3 linked regions of the Lytechinus pictus genome follow. The protein of the gene in region 3 binds, or shares a complex with, the protein of the main gene of each other region. Links are inferred from orthologs where the notes say so. Each region holds a gene or a part of one and is shown on either strand. Other genes may lie near its edges.

Region 1 (7,470 bases), on a different chromosome or scaffold from region 3:
ATATAATTGAAAGATCAATGCTCCTTGTAGAATTGAATGAATCACAGCCAGGACAAATAATGGAGTATTTAAAAAAAGATGACCCAGGGATACAGAAAGCATTTTTACGTTTCGTTTCAAGAACGAAACGTTTTAGTAAGGAGTGATGTACTATTTTAATATTGTATTGTCTATAAGAAATATGAATGGATATGCTTGTACAAGTCTAATGTGAAAAGAAGAAAAAATATATATATATACATAATAATGTATGATATAATATATACAATATGATATATTCTGCACATATAACTAACAAAGCCCACAAGTGTTTTCGCCTTGTTGTTGTTGTTGTTTAAAAAAAAGAAACAAATTATTTTAATGTTTAACCCATCTGTAAGCACAGGTACACTAGCGCCCCCTCGTCTATGCATGGGTGACCTAGGCATTTATGTCCGAAAAATCGGCACAATGTACCGTGCTGACCGGTATGATTGCATCTTTGAAAGGGCAGGGCAAGCGCAACTAGTTGGAACTGAGCTGAAGATAGCGGTTTGTTTTTGGTGAAGTTTTGTTTATATGCCATTTTGACAAGAGTTACTGCAAACTTTTGTACATATCATAATTATCCTCTTTCATATCAGAAGGATACAAAAAAAATATTTTATATATGTATACATCATATTGGTAATAATATTATTATGTGAGAAGTGAGATTTTTTATTAATAATGTCAATGGCGACAATAGTCAAATATGACTAATCGCCACTCAAACCAACATAAGAAGAAGAAGAAGACTAAGGACGGATCGAACGAAGTATCGTGGTTGAGATTTGGAGGTAAGCGATAAAAACACTTTTATAAATAATTTCCAATTCCTTTTTACAATGAACTTAAATCATACGATCAAGATTAACATAGTGGAAAAATATTTAAAGGTTTGGCGTGTTTTAGTCCCTCACATTCGTGTGATGAATGAAAACGTCAAAATGCACTATGAAATCACATGCGTTGTGCGAGGTTAGTAATACTAACCTCACATGTTGTGTGAGTGCATCTCATGTATATACTTATAGGTGAAGTACGCCATCTTTTGACAAGATGATGATGAAAGTGGACTGAACGAGCAAGAAAATAATGCTGGGCGTCTAGAATGCAGCTAGCAGTACAAGCTTCAGTACCGTAAACAAACCGGCTTATAAATAAAATTGCGCGCCCTCTTTAGGCCAAATTTGATTTTGTCGCTGATCAAAGGGCATCTACGTGAAGATAAAGAAAAAATACATTAAAAAAAAAGGATCCATATTGTTCGATAAGTGTCATAGCACAATGTGAAATTATAGCTTTAGTGTTATAATCTTTTATTTGGGCAAAAGCCCATGAAAGATTTGCATGTGTCGTGTGCATTTGATATTCCTTCGCACGCGGGATGAAATGAACCCATGGGTGTATTAGAATCTAATCAGCGATGTAGGTCACTCATTCAATAAACAAGCCTATAATAAAAACTTGTTCTCTGTTCTCCCTGTGTGGTGAAATAGTATTGGCAATGTTTGGCTTATTTTCTCTGTCTTCAGCATAATTGGACCAAAACAAACATGCAATCATTGAATCAAATAAAAGTCATGTGTGTTTCTGTGGTACAATTAATGTTGAATATATATGGTAAATGGAAATTATTTACTTACTACCAGGAGCTTGTTTTTTAGCAAGAGTTCCATATGCACCCCCACTAGAATTAAAAATAAAAACATGGAGAAGGTTCAGAATAATATATCTAGCCCTAATATAGAACATATGATTGGGGAGTAGAAATACATACCAAAATATGGCTTTATTCCGTCAAATTTCGAGCATGATCTTTTGTAAACATAAGTCATTTTTTAGAATTTTTAATATGTGTGTTGTATTACTGCATAGATACCACACAGGCAGGGTGGTTGTTGTCAACAAGTGATGTAGGTCATAAGCAAGTCGGAGTCGGAGCTTCGATTAAGGCCGAAGGCGGAGCTGAAACTGGACTCGACGAACAATCATAACAAGTATAACTGTATGGGACTGCTGGAAAAGGTCTTTTATAATGACTTAACTACAATCATCCTATACACGAGGTTATAATTTAACCTAGTCTCCCCCTTTATAGTTGAACGTACATGTTGACAAAAACAAAACTTACATCACTTTAACTTGTTCACTGCAACCACCCTGCCTGTGGTGAATGTACATATTATAGACTATATAACACATTTTAAAAATTCTATAAAATATCACTTTTGGAACCCAAAATACTCATACAGTCCTATACAGTTATGATTTTTTTTTTTTTAATTACTAACTTGGAGATCAATATTTTAATTTACCAGAGCACTCAAAAACTTTATTTTGAGCATATTTTGGTGTGGGCCCTCTATTGGTGGGAAATAAATTTGGTCTGAATTGTCACCAAACAATCTCTTTTTAATTTTGAAAAAAGAAGTAAATCTAAGTTAGAGCCAAGTTATATGATGAATAGCTGTAATAGAAACTGACAGTGTAAAAAGTGTAAGTCCAAGAACAAGAGAAAATAAGCCAAACATTGCCAACCTTATTTTACCACACAGGGAGTTGTAACAGAGGACAAGGTTATTCATTATACATTTTACATTGGATGAGTGACTTGCATTGCCCATGGACTAGGTGGCAATGGGACCTCAATGAAACCTGCAAGAGTTGTCAGATTTCCAAGCACCATTCTATGAAATCGACAGATATTTGATCAAAATTTTCATATTAGATATAATTTGTGATATCTTAACTTTCCTTTCGAGGACTCCATCACTTTCAAGCTCCAAGCTTAAGATGGAGGTCTCCCACATTTCTATATATATATATGTTCATTAATTAAAGAAAATGTATATATAGATATAATTTTCACAGTACAGTTGATATTTTATAATGATTTATGTGCATTATTCATTATGTTTAAAAAAATATTTGCCTATTATGTAATATTGAAAAAAAAATATTATACTTGTATATTCTTTGTTTTTGTTTTGAAATGTGGAAATGAAATAAATCAAATCAAATCAAAAATATACAAGAACTAATTTCACTTTAAAAATGTTTGTAATTAAAAGAAAAATATAAAATCACTAGACAATTCACCCCCCCCCCCATCTTTGTGTGCATTTGTGTGTTGCTACGGGGATGCCGACTTTCTACAAATACACCACCCCTTATTTGCGCTATTGTCGCCTATGAGGTCAATAGTTATGCTTTGACCCCATTGTTAGTAGGAGTGGGAAAATGCCCTGTTAAGCTGTTTCCCGTAATATTTAACATAGAACCTTTGTAATTTTTAGGTTTAGTTACTGTAGGAAGAGTGCCTTTTGGGACAGCCACCCAAATATAATACAAAAGGTATATATATATGAAAACTGGATTAAAACTCACCAATTTTTCCTTGCGTTGTGCCCAGATTTAGTCCTTACGTCTTGCTCTGAATATACGATGACAAAGTCAAGAGTGACAGATTGAAAAGGAAAAACATACTTGAGTCTCCATTTAGGAGACATTTTTTTAAGCATTACATTTTATTCAAAGTGGTAGGTGCTAATGAGTGCTTAACATCTAGGGCATGAGAGGTGCTAGTGCAGTTGCACATGCCACCTGTAGTAAACCACTTCACTAATAGTATATCCAAAATAATTTTATGCAATTACCCGCTTGTGGCTGTATCCAATAACGTTGGTGTCGATATAGCCACACGCCGCTGTTTAAGAACACCCGACATGTGCAATTTGAGAGGGGTACGTTTGCAAGCTTGTTGTGGCATCAGCCGAATGATCAAAATGACATGCCAATCAAAATTGCACTCAATCAGGCTCAATTGTCCTTGGTGTTTCTCTAAATTTGGTTTAATTCTCACTGTCCCTCTTTTTTTTACTCTTGTTTCAATTTCAAATGCTAAAATTATGCAAGAACTTTAATGTAATTTAGCAATGGCGGATCCCCCGGATCCGCCATTGCCTCCACACCCCCTTTGATATGCCCTTGTGATATTAAGCAAAATATTGAAATAGTATTGTATTTTTACATCCCATTTTGATTCTTGTTTGATTTCTTTTATTTTATTGAAATAAACTTTCTTTTGTGGCAGACTTCCCCTTAAAGTAGTCTGGATTAGTTTTTACTTGCACTTCATTTTCAATTGTTATGTCTGCCTAACTCATTTCTACATTTCATGAGTCATGATAGTCATTTTGACTATTCACCTAGCCTATAAACCCTGTATGCATTCCTATGTGACTTATCATATATCAAGTAAGTTTGCTCATAATGGATTCAGAATGGTTCTGACTCATTCCAGTAGATTATTTACACCAGTAGCCCTGATTTGATATTTCTTTATATGTTCAAAAGTTATTTTAAAGTGCTTTTCTTATTTTCCTTTTATGTTCTTTTGTTATATAGGAAGTAATGAAGATGAGAGTGCTGTTGTAAGGAAAGAAAGGAGACAAGCCATTCCAAATCCTATGAGACAAAAGGTAATACAATTCGGCATTTGTACCAACAATTGACTTGTCTATTTCACTATTTTTATATTTCCCTTGTACATTGTTTATCAGATTTGTAAAAATTAGTGTAAAAGTCTATCATACTCTGGAATCATTTCAGGAGAGATGTTAATTTGATACTGTGTTCGCTTGATGGCTAGGTATAGGTTTGTTGTATGGCAACATTTCTTCTGGAATGAAAGTCTCATTAATTAATTGCTAATTGTACTACTGAAGTAAAAATTTGGGTCTAATTTATACTAACACTTGTACAACCAATGAATAAAGGAACATGTAATTCATTAAAACAGTTAAAAGGAATTGCTAATTTAAAGGAATTATTAATTGCTAATTGTACTACTGAAGTAAAAATTTGGGTCTAATTTATACTAACACTTGTACAACCAATGAATAAAGGAACATGTAATTCATTAAAACAGTTTAAAGGAAATGATAAAGATATAGCCTTCTCATATAACAGCAATCTGAAATTCAAAATTCATTGGACTGTAGTTTGTACACATGTATGCTTTTCCAATTGTACGAGTAATTTGCTGTTTTTTTTCCTTTAACATTTTTTATATACAGTTTGTTTACATATTAATCATTTTTCTTCCAATTATTTTGCAAAGTGGAATAGATAGTAATTAAATGAAAAGAAATTTAAAATAAGTGATTATGAAAAGTAATTAATGTAAGATAAAGTATTTTGAAATCATGCATTCACAAGTATAGGTTGATCCCAAGATTTGCATAACCGCACCTATTACTGATTATTGCAAGAAATATAAAATTTAATTCCAAGACAAACTTTATCATTACCCCAGTTTGGCAGGTATTAAAGGGGGGAGGGGTGAGTAGTTGCAATAAAGATTTTAATATGAATATCTTCCTTTATTTTAGACGAAGAAACTGAGTGAGAAGCAAGATATCAAATACAGTGACAGTAGTGAAGATGAATCTAAGGATACGATGGTCAGCTATAAATCCAGTAGATCCGCTGTGAGTATTCAATTATTTGTCATTCAATACTTCATCATTCTTAAAATGATTTTAACGAAATATTCATACATTACAAAATAAAATGATAAAACTTGTCTTGCTTCATCTTTGATGACTTGTTGGCTATTTATCAAAATGGCATCTCCATCTTATGTTTACATTTCTTATCGAAGGAGGAGAGAGATTATTTTTAATTATGACAGTTCATACCTGTCTCCACATCTTAAATCATTGACTTCTGACTTCACAATTACTCTGAAACTATCCTGACTCCTGAACAAATACTTGGTCAATTTGAGGTGATTTAGCAATTTGAAATGAGTGAAGAACAGATTCAGCAGAGTCTTCACTAGTCATCCTTTCATAAAAGCTTGCCCAAGTCTAAGCATTTTTCAAACCAGAATATACAATGTAAATGAATTTTCCAAGCCAAATTGCACCCAAATCACGCAGATTTCTGTGATGCTAAGAGGTTTGAGTTCAGTAGATTTGCCTGCATTGATTTTATTTTTTCCCAGGATAAAGGGTTGATTTTACATTCCTTTAAAGTTTGAGTTATTGATGGTCTTAACTTTTCAGAAACCAACTGGACCAGAAGATGGGGGTGCTACAGCAACCTATAACCTGGATACAGATTTCAATGAAGATGCACAGGCATTGTTTGAGAAACAGAAGAAGATCAATGAGGTATGCAAAGAATAATGCATTACTATTCCAATCCAATCTGCCACAGCTACATTGAATAGAACAAGGAGCGATTACATCACAACCCATATTTGATAAAAGAGGACCATGGGGGCCCAAGATATGACTGTATAAATGCCTTCTTTGCCCATTGAAATCAGTGTAAAAATTTGCCTGGTTCCAATTAGTTATGAAACCGGCCAATTAACATTGATTTTAATGGGACATATTAAGTATGCATTTGGCAATAGCTTGGGCCAGCATGAAGCTGTTTGTGTCAATTTGGTGTGTCAAGGTTTTTTCATTATACTCTACAGTGGCAAAATGAGCTGAAAATTTTAAGGACAACATGGCATATATTGAAAAATATCTTTAAAGTTGTGAGCAAACAAAAATTCTGGTCTTACTAAATTGGAAATCTAATTTTGCGATGGATATTGACAATAATAATGAAAAATGATATATTTGATCCTTTTTTATTTTCATTTTCTTTTTTCTTCTTCGTCTTCTTTTCCTTGGCCAGAGCCCCATGTTGGTACTTTATATCATTAAGTTTAAGCCTGAGCCAAGTAGCACCTGGTTCCATTCCCAGAATGCAGATTCATTCTCACAAAAATGTCAAAATTTATTGCCCCAACCATGTTTTGGCCTGCTCGCCCATTGGCTGGGCAAACAGTAGGAAAGTAAGGGAATAATACCAAGAGTAGCCTACAGTCCCTAACTTTCAAATGCTTTCCCATACAAGCAATGAAACAAAAGATTTGTATTCATCAGCAAGAGAAGATTATACTTGCTTTAATATATTGGGATTAATACTTTCTGCATCAGAAAATTCCCTAATCATTGTACAACAATTCAGCACATATATATTGTCTTTAGCAGAGCTGATTTTATAGTCTGCTTTTCGAGAAAAAAATTCCTGCCAGTTCCCGGTTTGCCTCAGTCAGGTTATTTAAGTGCAACCCAATATGGATGAATTTCTCTGCCTAAAGGAAATCAGAATCAGGGATAGGGTTTGACCCTCTGATGAAGAGAAGGAACCACTACACCATGAAACCGCCATAAATCAAATGCAGCTTAATCACTCTTTATTCATTACAGCACAGTCAATGTCTTGTAGACAGGACATGGTTATCATTTTCACTGTTTTTTTCTGCTCATGTAGGAGTTGAAAGGAGAGGAGGATGACAAGAAGTACAGAGGAATCAATAACTATCATACATACATTGAGAAGAGAGACACAGCACAGGGTAATGCATCCAGTGGTCAC
Region 2 (7,457 bases), on a different chromosome or scaffold from region 3:
TACAACAATTCTGAAGCAAGCCAAGTTTGGTTATTAAGAGCCTGTCTAAGGCTTTGGTGAAACATTTAAAGTTAAAGGGCCAATAAAGTGAATTATACTTGTGTATCATCCAACAATCCAACCTTACAAAAGTATAGTGACCATTAAGTCTTTCTTCAACCATTAGAATTAAAATTTGGCTTGGTTTTTGTATCTAGCACCCTTTCTCTCTCTCTCTCTGCAATGTTTTCTTAAAAAATACTTGATTCCTTGAAGTTGAACACTACATGTAGTTAAACGAAAGTAGGTAAACATTTACTTAAGTTAGTGTATTATCAGAAACAAAGAAAGATACAATTAATAGATCTACATCTTGAATATTTTCAGCCCATTCTTTGCTTGAACCAGGTTTCATATCATGTGAAAAAAAAGGGGGAAATTGCAGATATACCATTGGGCACCCTACCAAAATGATCGAGTAAATCTAGACCTTGTTCATTGAATGAGTGATCTAGATACGAGTCTACTGACTGTAAATTCATTTTCATACCTTCCATGATTCACATCAATACAGACAGTATTAGGACATTTATGAAATGGAAAAGTGCAGTGATAGGCCTCGATGTACTTGGGGGAGGCCGGGAGGGGGTACCCGAGCTATACTTAGAATAAAGTTGAAGTTAAACTTAAAAGGGAATTTCACCCGGAAGAAAGTTTGTTGTAAAAATAGCAGAAAAAAATAATTAAAAATATCAGTGAAGGTTTGAAAGATTAAGAAAGTTATTAGAATTTTAAGTTTTGGATCTGTGACATAAACGAACAGCTGTCCCATATGTTTTGTAATATAAAAATTAAAATGCATGAATTTCAAGTTTTTTTAAATAATGGTCTGTGATGACTCACTTATTTTTATTTCATTTTTAGGAACGGGAATTGGGAGTGAAATAATTTGTCTATTGTCTACTGAACATACCGTAAAAAACATTTTCAATTTTCTGAGAAAATTATATTTCATTTCATTGATTTTTTCCATACAATGTGTACTGTAGTAAAGCTGCTAGCATATGACGTCACAAATCATATCATTAAAATTCAAATACTAAGGTCTAAGTAATAGTCTAGATCTCTAGCTTCTACACTCCCTACAGTATTGAACTTTCAGACTCAGTGACTTTTTTTCAAATTTGTGTCATCATCATCAGTCTTGGAGGTCTCGAGGCAGGCTTTGCCAGTCCTCTGCCTTGGCCTCGTAATGCCGTGACTCGGACTCGTCCTCGTAGCATGCGGCCTCGATGACTCGGCTCGAGGCAGGAAGATTTAATACTAATCTGGTGAATTTAATAGTCAGTATTATTCACTATTTTGAAGTATTTTTCCAATAATATTTCATGGAAAATGTATATCCTACGATTGATAATAAAGTTGATTTGCCCATGATTTGCCTCAACGCTAAAAGCTGTGCACATCATTGCATTGCACTGTGCAGCTGCATGTATTGTGTATACGAGTGCAAGGGTAACTAGGCTGTATCGTAGGGCGAACTCGGCAGTCTATAAATCACACTTCAGTTGAACTGTTTCTTTCTCTCTTTTTTTCTTTTTAAGATATAAAATCCTTGTTTCTGAGATTCTTACATCTTGAAGTTTTCAAATTTTTTCATTGATATTTAACACATGATATTGAATAAAGTAGGAACATTTGGTATCATTTGTTTAGAGTAATACATTTTCTACAAATTTTGTACACAACATATTTGTAAAGATGGTACTATTGATGTAATGATGTTTGAATGAAGAGCAACAAATTGTTCATGCTTTTGTAAAATCTTGAAATGGGTAAGACCCTGTGGCATCAAAGACACATTATGTTGTATTTCTTGCAGGCACTGATATTTGCAAACGAGTCCTGGATGTTCTGATTATTCGACTTATGCGACTTCGACTTACGCAGAGTTAACTCATAACTGTACATAAATTATTATTTACCTCAAAGTCAACAGCTTTCCCTTTACTTTGTCATTTTTTCTCTTTAATTGTAATTGATAAAGTATTTGTTGATTTGAATCAATTGACAATTGTTGATTGGGTGAGTGATTGTTTTTGATTGATTGTATGATGTCAAACTAAAACTTTAAAGTAATTTTAAAAGGTTTAAAGTAAACAAATTAAAATATGACATTTTAATTTGGTGACTCGGACTCGGACCATGGTGAATCGACTACAAGACTGATCATCATCATCATCATCATCTGGTACAGGATGAAGGCGCAAGCCTGTAAGTGTAACTCCCGGTGGCTTCTTGTAGGATTGCTGAAAACCACTACGTCTACGAGTACGACTATGGACGGTACTTCGTGTTTTGGACATGGATTTTTCTCAAACCTTCAGCAATATTTTTCATTATTTTTTCTGCTAGTTTTATAAATAAACTTTTTGTTAGGGTTAACTTCTCCTTAAAGACAGGCTTGAAATACAGGAAGCTTACAAGTCATTGATATCAACAATAATAACAAACTCAAAGTCAAGGATCCGCTATCACTCCACTTGCCCACATATTGAAAACTGTGTAGTGTTTAACTTTAAGCCCTAAACCAAAACCAAAAATACATTACAAAAAAGGCCAAAAAAGTGAGTTTCAATTTTAAACAATGAAACTTCACTACTATAGATATAATTTATAAAATGCGAAATCATCGGCATGTCTACTTACATTTCTCGCACACCATCTTAATCTATCAAAACTTCATTGAAAGACAAGAAGCCGAATATTCAGGAAGAGCGAAAGACGATTTGTTTTGTCAGATATTTTGTGCTGCTCAAATCGCTAGAGGGCGGACTTCATCAAATCGCTCGAGGAGCTTGTCTTCTCCAGTGATGACCAGTCAGTGGTATTCTTTCGAATACAACCGAATATGCCATGGTACTTGTAAACAAAGACTTTAGAAAAAGCTGCTTGGAGTGTTTTTCAAATTAATTTTCAAACAATATCTCAGTAGATTTTGGGGTGTTAAAATTTTAAAATTTGTGAGCGAGCGAGACACAATATTCACAGGGGCCGCGCCCGGGGGGCGAAATTATTTTTCCCACCGAGTTCTGGACCAACATATGAATATTCATGACTTGCGTCTTCGGATTAAGAGTACGCATGCGCGTGGACTCTGCCTCGACCAGTGCTGGTCGTAAGCATTCACGTTCAGTTGCTCAGAATGAATATTAGCATCGTCAAATTACCGGTACTCTTACATAGTTACATATGCCTTATATATATCCAATTCTTAAACACTTTTCAAACTAGCTGCCATTAATGGCAAGACATGTGCTAGGCTAGGGCTCGCTTAGGCTAGCGCATTAACTTTACCTCAAATCTGGACCTGTCTAATGCCTAGTACTAATCAGTGTTGTAGTGCCTTGGCCTTGAACATTCAAGCCTTGGCCTTGGCCTTGAGGATTTTGAGCCTTGAAATTTCAAGGCATTTTCAAGGCATTTTGTATTATGTACTTTCATTTGTTTTATAAGTAATTATAAATGTTTCAGTTTTTTTTAAAATATTTAATGACACTATAATGGTCAATACTACCAGTCACCAGTAACATTAGCAGCAGCAGCAGTAGTAAGTGTACTAGCAGTGTCATCGATTGTAATTGTCACCATTATCAAGAATTTTCAAACAAAGAATACATCAGTTATGAAAATTAGCATTATGTATTGGTAATGTGTTGTAATCATGACTAATGATGATAATGACAGTAAATAATAATGGTCAAGATCAAGATAATAGTGCTTTGATGACAAGAATAAATTTGACATCTGACTGCAATTTTGACAAAAATTTTCGTACTTTAAACATAGCTAACTCTAAAGCACGATAACAAGGTTGATTTCTATTCCATTAGGATTTTCCTTGTATTATTTTCTTTGGCCAACAAGAATGTTTTAAGTCTTCATGATATTCTGAAAAGATTTGGTAAACTTGAACACAGTCTTCAATTTTGTCATATCCAAATGGGTTATGTCAATGGCATGATGAGCCAGAAACTTTGAGGGGCCAAGCATGGCATATAGAGCAACATTTCTGTCCAAAAAAAAGAAGAAAGCGATTGAAGCAAGCGAGTGAACAAAATTTGTCCCCCTCTTTCTATAGGAAAAGCTAATTTTGCGATAGATTGTTTAAAAAATAATATCACATTTACTCCATCTTTTCCTTTCCCTTCCCCCCTTATCTAAGTGTGTTCTTGGTGGTGGAACTTCTTCTTCTCTCTTTTCTAAATTGTATATTTGTTTTGGGTCAGATTGACAAAACAAAGGGGGAAAATGTTTACTTCTTTTTAATCATATATCGTTCAACAGTGAATTTCATTTCTCTACAGTTTCAAGGAAATAAACAACGTATTTGTTTTTGTGTCAATATGGTTTCAAGAAATAATGATTAATAAAAAAAAGTAATTGAATAATTAATTATTATTAATATTATCAACAAGTATTAATAATTAATGATTGATTAACTGTTTAAAGAAATAATTAAGATTTACCCTCTCCCAACTAAGGGTATGGGGTGCGCCCTGTTTACTTTATATCCTTTTGAATATAACTTTATTTTGTTAGTATTCTTTATTCTGTTTTTTTAAGGTAAAATAAGTGTAGAAGATACAAGAAATGAGAATTGAAATTTAAAAGTGGTTGTAAGCAGAAAAAAAAAGAAAGCTGACAAGAGTCCTAAAAAATGACTCATTTTCAGTTTAAGCATTTAAAAATTTTAACTTGCGTTTTGTGCTCTCTAGCCCCCCCCCCCCCCAAAAAAAAAAATCCCTGTAGGATTTTTATTTCCAAATGAAATATGCCCTTTTTAAAAAAGAAATATACCTTCTTTAATAATAAAACATAATACATTTTAGGTTCGAAAATCACAGATTTTGAATCGTGCTTGCATCAATTATTGTTTAGTACAGTACTAATCCTGCTCATGGTAACAAAAATGTATAGAATGTTGCTTAATGGTTGGAATATCACAAATTTTTGGCTGGCTTCCTGCACTCGCATCAATTATTGTACTCGATCTCTTCCCGTTCACAAAAAAAAATGCTTAGAGTGTCCAGTTTTCAGGTTGGAATATCACAAATTTTTGAGCTCGCGCTTTGTGCTCACACTTTTTATAAGGCTTATGAGATTATTTCATGTTTATGTTGTTTTATAAGAATAAAACTAAGAAGTGACTGATCGGGGAAAACATAGGTGAAATAATTTCGGGCCCCGTCCCCTATTGGCGAAAGTCCGATCCGCCCTCGTGACACATACACACACACCGGAAAAAATGGCCGGTGGCCCCCCCCCCCCGAAAAAGCAAGGACCCCCCAGTGCCCCCCCCCCCATAAAAAAAATCCTAGCTACGCCACTGCATTGCATGGAACGTATTATAACGTCAGGCACAAACTAACGTCAGTGATCTTGATCCCCGTCTTCCCCCCCAAATTAAGGATTTCTTAGCTGAAAAATAATTGACAAGCAAAAAAAAAAAGATCTTCACGTTCAAAAGAGGGGACATAAGTCTTTTTCTGTTGCATTTTGACATTACAAATTATTGATTTGGCTTCTCAAAGGGGGGAGGGCACGTCCCCTGGATCAGTTGTAAATTGTCAGGGGGCAGTCTGCGCCCCCCCCCCCTTGGTACACTAGTTGTTCCATGCTGATACAGCGTAGATCAGAGTCTAGATCTAGAGACTAGACTAGAACTAAGATATTTTTTAGATCTAGGACTGGTTCTGTATACGGACTAGAAATATTAAACCATGTTAAATAAAATCAAACGTAAAGTTCGGAATTTGGTTCGAAGTTTTAAACCATGGCATTAGTCGGCTATTACTATTAGTATTAGGCATTAGACAGGTCCAGATTTGAGGTAAAGTTAATGCGTTAGCCTAAGCTAGCCCTAGCCTAGCACGGTTACACTTCGTAATTCCGAAGGTTCGTAATTCCGAAGGTTCTTTATTCCGAAGGTTCGTAATTTCGAAACACGAAAATTGCCTTTATTAATCCGAACATTTGTGGCGTTATTCCGAAGGTTCGTTATTCCGAAGGTTCGATAATCCGAAAACGAAATAAGGTTCGATGTACCGAAGGTTCGTTAATCCAAAAACGAAATAAGGTTCGTTGTTCCGAAGGTTCGTTAATCCGAAAACGAAATAAGGTTCGTTAATCATTTCGTTTTCGGACTAACAAACCTTCGGAATTACGAATCTCATTTCGTTTTCGGATTAACGAACCTTCGGAATTACGAACCTCACTTCGTTTTCGGACTAAGGAACCTTCGGAATTACGAACCTCATTTCTTTTTCGGACTAACGAACCTTCGGAATTACGAACCTTCGGAAATACGAACCTTCGGAATAACGAACCTTCGGAATATCCGAACCTTCGGAATAACGAAGCTTCGGAATTACGAATGTATGCGGCCTAGGACATGTCTTGCCATCATTAATACTTGTTGATAATATTAATAATAATTAATTATTCAATTACTATTTTTTTATTAATCATTATTTCTTGAAACCATATTGACACAAAAACAAATACGTTGTTTATTTCCTTGAAACTGTAGAGAAATGAAATTCACTGTTGAACGATATATGATTAAAAAGAAGTAAACATTTTCCCCCTTTGTTTTGTCAATCTGACCCAAAACAAATATACAATTTAGAAAAGAGATAGAGAGAAGAAGAAGTTCTACCACCAAGAATACACTTAGATAAGGGGGGAAGGGAAAGGAAAAGATGGAGTAAATGTGATATTATTTTTTAAACAATCTATCGCAAAATTAGCTTTTCCTATAGAAAGAGGGGGACAAATTTTGTTCACTCGCTCGCTTCAATCGCTTTCTTCTTTTTTTTGGACAGAAATGTTGCTCTATATGCCATGCTTGGCCCCTCAAAGTTTCTGGCTCATCATGCCATTGACATAACCCATTTGGATATGACAAAATTGAAGACTGTGTTCAAGCTTACCAAATCTTTTCAGAATATCATGAAGACTTAAAACATTCTTGTTGGCCAAAGAAAATAATACAAGGAAAATCCTAATGGAATAGAAATCAACCTTGTTATCGTGCTTTAGAGTTAGCTATGTTTAAAGTACGAACATTTTTGTCAAAATTGCAGTCAGATGTCAAATTTATTCTTGTCATCAAAGCACTATTATCTTGATCTTGATCATTATTATTTACTGTCATTATCATCATTAGTCATGATTACAACACATTACCAATACATAATGCTAATTTTCATAACTGATGTATTCTTTGTTTGAAAATTCTTGATAATGGTGACAATTACAATCGATGACACTGCTAGTACACTTACTACTGCTGCTGCTGCTAATGTTACTGGTGACTGGTAGTATTGACCATTATAGTGTCATTAAATATTTTAAAAAAAACTGAAACATTTATAATTACTTATAAAACAAATGAAAGTACATAATACAAAATG
Region 3 (8,023 bases):
CGACTTAAACTGGAATAACTTTATAATTTCTTGATGAAAATTAAAGTTCTTGGTATCATTTTAAAGGTCTTTTTAAGAGCTTTCAAGTGATACCAAATTTATTCATATTTGATGATTTTCATTTTTTTTGTCACATACCTATAATACACTGCCATACATTACGCTATTTAGGGGTGCAAATTTGGGCAAATTTTAGGAGACAAGGGAGCAGACATAAGCCATAAACACCATGAAAGGCGATTTTAAGGGATACAAAATAGTCCTCCCACACGACGGCGCGGCCAGCGCAGCATGCATGTCTCAGGCTCAGCGGAGCCTCTTGGGTTACCTCGCCCACAGTTCCGGGGTACTTGCTGGATCATCACCGCTCTTCATCGATCAACCGACACGACAGTGACAGTCGAATATCATCAATATGAATATCACTCGGAATACAACCATTTAATCGGCGAATTATCAGGTACTCACCAAATTCTTCGGTCTATATTTGAAGTCTGAAAAATTACAGCCAAATAATAGCTGTGGTCAACATTGCTTTTGAGTTATTTGAGCTGTCAGGACTTATAATATTCCATAAACAATAATAAGTTCACGATCAAATTAGGCTGCCAAAATTATCGGTATCAGTGAACAGTAGAGGGCAACATTCAAATAACTCTTCCTTGCTTTTACAATAAAAATTAATGCAAAAAGGATATTATGGTGCTAATTGAAAGTTTCCGTTTTAAGAAAATTACTTTTATTCGGAAGACTTAGAGCATTAATATTCTCGTTATAGCTAGCTATTTGACATTTTTCTCATAATTTGTTGCACATGAAATGCGGCATGATCCTCCGGGACATCCTCTGGACTGGAATAGAGAATTAAAGGTTTATAATTCTAGGACTACATAACTCCGGGGACGGTGGTATATAGGCCTATAGGGGCAGATCTCAAATGCATCTATTGTTATTAAAAAAGGGACATTATTAAAAGGGAGTCCACCCAAAGTTGATTTAAACAACTGATACCGAAAAAAAAATCGATATCAAACAAGCTTGATGGTGAAAATCATTCATCAAAATCACTATTAATTTTTATTTTACATCCGATTTGATAAACTGCGTTATTATGCTTGTTTGATTTATTTTTTTCTCTATTTGGAAAGGTTTAAACATCTGTTGTACAATTATGTGGGGGGGGGGGGTTAAAACCTCCATTTCTCAACGCGGGAAGTTTTACAAATTTAAACTGTCGGCTAGATAATCGTCAAGCATATACCTGAAGTAAAGACCGGAAAACCTATACAGGAGAAGTCCTTCAAGGACGTGATGTGAAAGCAAAGTTAACAGCTCATCAGGGAACCAGCTGAAAGAGGGGATCGACAGCCCGCCTGCTCGATCCACCAGTTGATAATTTGGTCTTTGATTATAACAAAGATAGTATGGCCTTCTTCTGAATATTTTTTGAAATTTACTTTTTCCGCACGCCAATTAAGAGTTGTCTTAATTGGCATATATACTTTGCAGATGTTTTTGTCCTATAATTTCAAGTTTTACTCACCTTGGCAATTAATTAACTTTAGGAAAATCTGGTGAATATTTTCATCCATTTTCCCCGATAGGCCGCTATAAAAGCTTATTAGTTGTGGTAGTAGATAGTATTTTTTATTTTGAAGGGTTATATATTCCCAGGCAACAAAAGACCTAAGTTTTTTTAGTACATTTCCACATTATCATTATACAAACAAGGTGATGTAACCCCTAATTCAAAATGCGAGCGCAAAGCCGAGTTCCAATTTCGGATATTTCGTGAATAACATGAAAACATTAAGTTTTTGGACCATGAAGTAAAAAAATATGAGCACTGAATCGAGCTGAATTTTCATTATTATTTTATTTATGTATTTTTTTACTTCAAATTAATAGATCTGTAATGATCATGGCTTAATTCAATTTGCAGTAAGTCATGCAGAGGATCATTATCTCATTCTATTAAGGTTAGGGCAAAGCCGGAGCCAGTTTGAAACACGCTTAACATTTTAAGCACGTTTTTGTTTTGTTTTATTATTATTGTAAAAAAGAACAACTTACCGTCAGGGTACTTCAAAACACACTATGCGAGCACAAATCATGAACTGCTCTTAGAGAGGTGAGGGGGGGGGGGGGGGGGCAAGAGCAACAAATTTCCCGGACATGATTTATCATGGTCTGAACAGGATATTTTTTTTATGATTGTGCCCGAAGCGTATAATGATAAGTACAAAAAAAGAGCCAGGCGCGCCTGAGGCAAAAGCTACTAAATATACAAATACACAAATATAAGTCTCGAGCGAGCGAAGCGAGCTATAGCGAGAAAAAAACCCACCCTTTCATGAATCTAACTTTGATTTTGATTGATACCGCCCATGGTATTCAGAAAATAGCATCATAATTTATTTTAAATCTTCCTATCCTTTCCTTTCATCTTTTTTTTTTTCTCGGTTGCAGAACCTTTGGGGGCCAGTGCTGTGCGGATCAGAGTTTGGGGCAGTGTGGCATTGGTGGGGGGGGGGGGGGGCAACACGATTTTTTGCCTATATTTCACAAAATCGAGCGAGAAGCGTGAGCTGATTGTTTTCAATGCAGGCCCTGGCTTTAAAAGGGACTGTATATAGCTGTTTGCATTGGGTCATGAAGATGATATCTCACCAAATAAATAATGCAAGCGCGAAGCGCACGAGCTGATAATTTTTGGTATCCTGAGATGATAACTGGACGAAGCACTTTATAATATCATGAACTGAATGGCTATCTTACTAAACAATAATTTGATTTTGATTTATGAAAATTATGAATACGCAGGATGTGTATCATCTCAGTGCTAAAAAACTCTAGTCGCGAGGAGCATATTGACTTGAACACTGGACTTTTAAGCCCCATGTAAATGATCTCAGTCAACAGTTACTGAGATCAAGTAGCGCGAGCGAAAATTTTAATTTTATATACTTTTATGGCCTGAAAGATTTATGTTGACAATTGAGCTATATACAGTGAATGGATAAGAAAGTTTTTAAAATATAAAGAACGAAAAAGCTGTTTTGATCGAGCACTTTGCAGCTTTAGACAACATTCTACTTTTTTTTTTTTGGGGGGGGGAGCAAGTGGGGGGCCAACTCATTGAAGGCAAATACCCCCCCCCCCCGTGCCTCCCCCTTGGTCCGTCACTATGTCTGGGGCCGCCGCCGCGGCGGAACCTCGTTTGTTTGTTTGTTTGTTTTATTTCCGTCATAAAAAATACATAACAATATATAAACAAGAGATACAAGGAGTAACATACACATACATAATGAAATGAATTCTAAACATTGATTAAAAAAAAGAAAAGAAAAAAAAATGATTGATTGAAACATGTTAAGAAAGTTAAAAGATCAAACTTAAGACAGGAGACGGTTGGATAACCCATATTCAGCTGCACCAATTATATGTGCGGCTGGTCTTCCATGGGGACCAAGTAAAAAGAGAGTCATATAGGGAGCGGAAAATGAGAACAGAAAAGAAAAGACAAAAGAGGGAAATGAAGGAAGAAAGAAAAGGAAAGGAGAGAGAAAAAAAAAATCACTATCAGTTTGCTTACTCCTACCCCACTACCCCACCCCCCCAAAAAAAAGAAATCAATGTCTCAAATGTGACAACGCTGATCTAAAAGAATTTAAGGTCATACAATTACGAATATTATTTGGGATACTGTTAAACAACTTAGTCCCCCTATAGAAAAATGTGCGTTTGCAATAATTAGTTCTGGGTTTGGGGAGGCACAAATTATTTTTTCGAAAATGGTAAGGTCTTGAGGTGTAAAATATGTATTTTGTTAGATATTTGGGAGCCAAATCATGGAGGATCTTAAACATCATTGTTTGAATATGAAAGTTTTGCCTAGACTTCAGGGTTTGCCATTCCATTATTTCATGAATTGAGTCAATAGAAACATGTGACCGATTATTAATATTAAGGATAATTCTACCATGATGTTTTTAAACATTGCAGATGGCTACCTTTTTTATCAAATCGCGGGTATATACACATAAAAACACATAACTTCAACGCAGTTGCGGATAATATACTAAATATTTTGAGGCAGCACAGCATAGCAAATTTGGCCTTTTCAAATGATTTTGAAATGAAATTCTAATTATGTGATAGTAGCTTTGGAAATCTATAGCCAAATAGCAAACATTATGAGGCTTTTTTCGATACCCAGCATAAAGCTTTACTTAGGTTATAGGACATAGAGGGATTTAATAACTAGCCCTTAGTATTATTTTTTTTGTCCTGATTGCGACCATATTGCATTAAATTTAGCATGCTCATATAGACGCCATCCACCTTTCTTCCCGTTCTCAATATTTTTCTATTCTCGGCAGCCCGGTCGTTTTATTAAATTCTTTTCTTTCTTTTATCTTGTTCATTTTCTTCATATTCTGATTTTCCAATTTAGCCATTTTGGGTCTACCTTCATTTCCCGTTTATTTTTGTCTCTTTCTCCCATTTTCCCGCCATTCTTGCCCGTATCATTGAGTCATATCTTAAATTTTTATTTTATATCCCTCTCTTGCTAATCATGCTAATATATTAGTATTTCAGGATATTTTGAACTTTCTTTTCACCTTCCTTTTCCCGCTTTCCTTCCATTTTCCCTATTTATGTTCTTTCTCCCTGTCCCTTAGTCTTTTCACCTGGCCGTTTCCCTTTCCCTTAGTTTCCCCCTTTCCTCTTTTTTTCTTCCTTTCCCTTTCCCCTTTCACTCCTTCTCCCTTTTCTCTTTTTCCCGGTGAAATATTCTCCTTTTTCTTAAAGTACAGAACAATTTGGCTTTTGAAAAAAAAGTCTTATAACAACTTTTCATTTTAGATGATGGTTAATCTAAGTATGTATATTTTGCATTAATATTATTGATTTTTTTATGCATTGATAGTTGTACATATATCTCCCTCTTTTTTAGCGGCTCTTATATTTGAGTCCTATTTGCCCTCCACTCGTGCCAGGTGGCATCACAGTTTCTTGTTCTTATAATCAATGCCTGTAACTATTATGCTTACTTTTTTTTAACGATCGATGCATGCTTAATTGTTGTTTTACATGTTACCCGTAATTAGTGGTTGAAATGCGATCACTGTAAGTGTAAAGCGCAACATTGATAACATATTTTTTATTTGTAAAATTTTTTTTATTGTAAATAAAATTTACTTTGAAAAGTAAAAAAAATGTCTTCTAGCTTTCTTCTTCTTGTGATATCCACGGTATTTCCGTTTTGTCGAAATTTGTACTTCACATTTTTACCTGTAGATGGCGCCAATCGCGACTCGATTATAGCCAGACTTGCGAAATTGCGTTTTTGTTTAGTTTGGGTAAGTGGAGTTTCACAACTAAATTATAGATTTAATTATTCTTTATGCTTCTCGTTTCATAGATTCATAACCCTCTCTACATGTATGAATGCATTACCTCCCACATATGTTCCCGCAATTGTACAGAAATATAACACCTGCATTACCTTGGCTTGATCCATTTAATGACTCCCTGCTTGGTATCAGATCACGAAAAAAAATCATTTACAGTCCCATACATTGAAATTGGTGTCATGTCACCTACCGTATGTCTGCCAAACAATTCATAAAAAGTGTGAGAGAAATATGTGATTTTCTTGGAAAAAACCTTGGCCAGTCATTTCTTTTTAAATTTCAGTTTGACTTGAAGTTAACTGAAGTACAAAACAAATGCCTGCGTGCGCGCACTGCACCCAATGTCATAGACAGGAATAACCGTCGTTTCTGGGGATTTATTCAACAATTTCTGACATTTTACTGTAATCCCCATTTACCCATTTATGTATGGTGAGTGGAGCCAACGTAGTTCAGCGGAACAACCAAAATACAGAGACTGAAGCTTTTGGTCTACCAATGTCAATGATCCATTCACTTTATGTTTACACACGATTCAGGGATTTTGACGAGAAAGGCTGCATTTTTAGGTCGTCACATGAAATGCCTGAAATTTGTTACTCTTATACAATTTTAGTCCGATTTAAAAAAAAATTATGATTAGATTCTATCTGTCTAAATATGTATTGCATGTCACATGTGTACAAGTTTTGGTAAGGTAAGATAATTGTATCAGATGGAGGTTCAAATGCCATGAATTAGGTTGGTATCACATTTTACTTATTTGGAGACCTTTTTCTTTGCTTGCAACTTTTTTGTAACCGCCCCTTGTAGCATGTAAGTTTGCTGTTTTCAAAGTGCCTAAAGAATTTGAAGACATTTTATTTTTTAAAACTTTCTGAAAATGTTTTGTGTTTACTTGGTTAATCTCTGCTTCTAGTGTAACCAGATTACATGTTTTCTCTGATATCAAATTCAGTAGTCGACGAAGGAAGGATAGATAGCCGAAGATGACAACAGCAGCACGACCAACGTTCAACCCAGCAAAGGGAGGCAGTGGGAAAGGAGAAGGGGATTTGAGTGCTCTATCCAAGCAGTATTCCAGTCGTGATCTCCCAGGGCATACAAAGTTGAAATACAGGTAAAGCCAAGAGAATGAAAGTTTTAGATTTGCGTCCACCGCCCGCATGCTCCAAAACCACCCGCACGAAAATTTCATTATTAAAAAAAAAAATCATTTACTTACTCACGAAATTACGAAATTACAATTTCCAAATCATCGCAGGGCAGTAAATACGCACTTACTACGTGCATACGGTATAGCACTGCAGCGCACCTTCGATCTTCGCACAGCAAGCTAGCTGTGGCAAATTGTCCATAGACTGTGTACAACGGATAGACTGTCTCGGCTAAGCGAATCGGAGATCGCTGATTGGCCAATCGCGCAGAACACGTCATGACTACGTGGTCGCCAAAATAATTCCTTCGGACTGCGTGCGAAAGTATCGAAAGCGATAACGATATCCGGTCACATGGTCTTCGCGGGAAATGGTCTTGGTTCGTGATCGGATCGCTCCAGTATCGATCAAAAATTATTGAAACTCAGTAATTTCATGCATATTCACGCGACGCTCCCAAACCCGGAAATCAATTGACTTTGTACACGTTGCGATAGACTCTACAAACTCCAACGAACCCGATGCCATATCGACGCTAATTCGTAAGATTTTGACCGAAAAGCAAGAAGTAATCGAAATTCACTTACCTGTGCGGTATCGGTGAGAAAATAGATCTTCCGAGAATACCTTTCATAATTCATATAAAATATAGGAAAGTGAAATTCTAGGTCGATTTTGGTACGAGGTGATAGAGAATTGCACACTTGTTTTGGTGGAATACTGTGTGGGGCTATGGAAGGCTTGCAATGCAATGCGCATGCTTACTATATTTTCATTCATAAATTGGCTCTCGGCATGCAGTGGCTGGGATGACGTCATGTAATAAGCAAAATGTACACGGCCGCTAGCGCTAGATAATGAATAATAAGCCTCATGCCATTTGAAAAATTTTCGGATGCAAATCTAATACCTTACTTCTCATGGCCTAAGTGTCTGTACACTGTATCGAGTTAGATATGAGTGTATTTTCTAAAATTTGGCATGAAGGTTGAGTATGGTATAGCGAAGAAGCCTATCGATTTTGGTGTGGGCGGAGACATCGTTGCCATGGAAACAAGTTTTTTTGGAAATAGCAGAGATGTCCTTGTGAGCGCTCTACCAGCTGCATTTCTTCTCCGATCATCTTCAAATGTAGCATGAAGGTTGAGTGTGGTAAAGCAAAGCCGCATATTGATTTTGGTGTGGGCAGATACATCGTTGCCATGGTAACAAGTTTTTGTGGAAATAGCAGAGATGTCCTTGTGAGCGCTCTATCAGCTGCATTTCTTCTCCGATCATCTTCAAATGTAGCATGAAGGTTGAGTGTGGTATCGCGAAGCCGCCTATCGATTTTGGTGTGGGCAGAGACATCGTTGCCATGGTAACAAGTTTTTGTGGAAATAGCAGAGATGTCCTTGTAAGCGCTCTAACAGCTGCATTTCTTCTCCGATCATCTTCAGATGTGGC

What was found. Proteins that work in one complex are often made in the same cells at the same time.
Region 1: protein CWC15 homolog (region 3) and E3 ubiquitin-protein ligase RNF113A-like share a complex: the UniProt entries of both Homo sapiens proteins name them as parts of the minor spliceosome. The link is inferred for Lytechinus pictus from reciprocal best matches to the Homo sapiens genes CWC15 and RNF113A.
Region 2: protein CWC15 homolog (region 3) and cysteine-rich PDZ-binding protein-like share a complex: the UniProt entries of both Homo sapiens proteins name them as parts of the minor spliceosome. The link is inferred for Lytechinus pictus from reciprocal best matches to the Homo sapiens genes CWC15 and CRIPT.

Annotation. Positions count from the first base shown.
Region 1 is NC_087247.1:22,149,187-22,156,656, reverse strand, and holds the start of E3 ubiquitin-protein ligase RNF113A-like, read left to right. Parts: upstream 1-4,397; 5' UTR 4,398-4,412; coding exon 4,413-4,505; intron 4,506-5,417; coding exon 5,418-5,516; intron 5,517-6,095; coding exon 6,096-6,203; intron 6,204-7,365; coding exon 7,366-7,470. UniProt on the Homo sapiens protein: Required for pre-mRNA splicing as component of the spliceosome. As a component of the minor spliceosome, involved in the splicing of U12-type introns in pre-mRNAs. E3 ubiquitin-protein ligase that catalyzes the transfer of ubiquitin onto target proteins.
Region 2 is NC_087251.1:29,280,857-29,288,313, reverse strand, and holds the start of cysteine-rich PDZ-binding protein-like, read right to left. Parts: upstream 3,074-7,457; 5' UTR 2,705-3,073; coding exon 2,689-2,704; intron 1-2,688. UniProt on the Homo sapiens protein: As a component of the minor spliceosome, involved in the splicing of U12-type introns in pre-mRNAs. Involved in the cytoskeletal anchoring of DLG4 in excitatory synapses.
Region 3 is NC_087260.1:19,048,624-19,056,646, forward strand, and holds the start of protein CWC15 homolog, read left to right. Parts: upstream 1-5,021; 5' UTR 5,022-5,133; intron 5,134-5,278; exon of another isoform or gene 5,279-5,366; intron 5,367-6,378; 5' UTR 6,379-6,409; coding exon 6,410-6,540; intron 6,541-8,023. UniProt on the Homo sapiens protein: Involved in pre-mRNA splicing as component of the spliceosome. Component of the PRP19-CDC5L complex that forms an integral part of the spliceosome and is required for activating pre-mRNA splicing.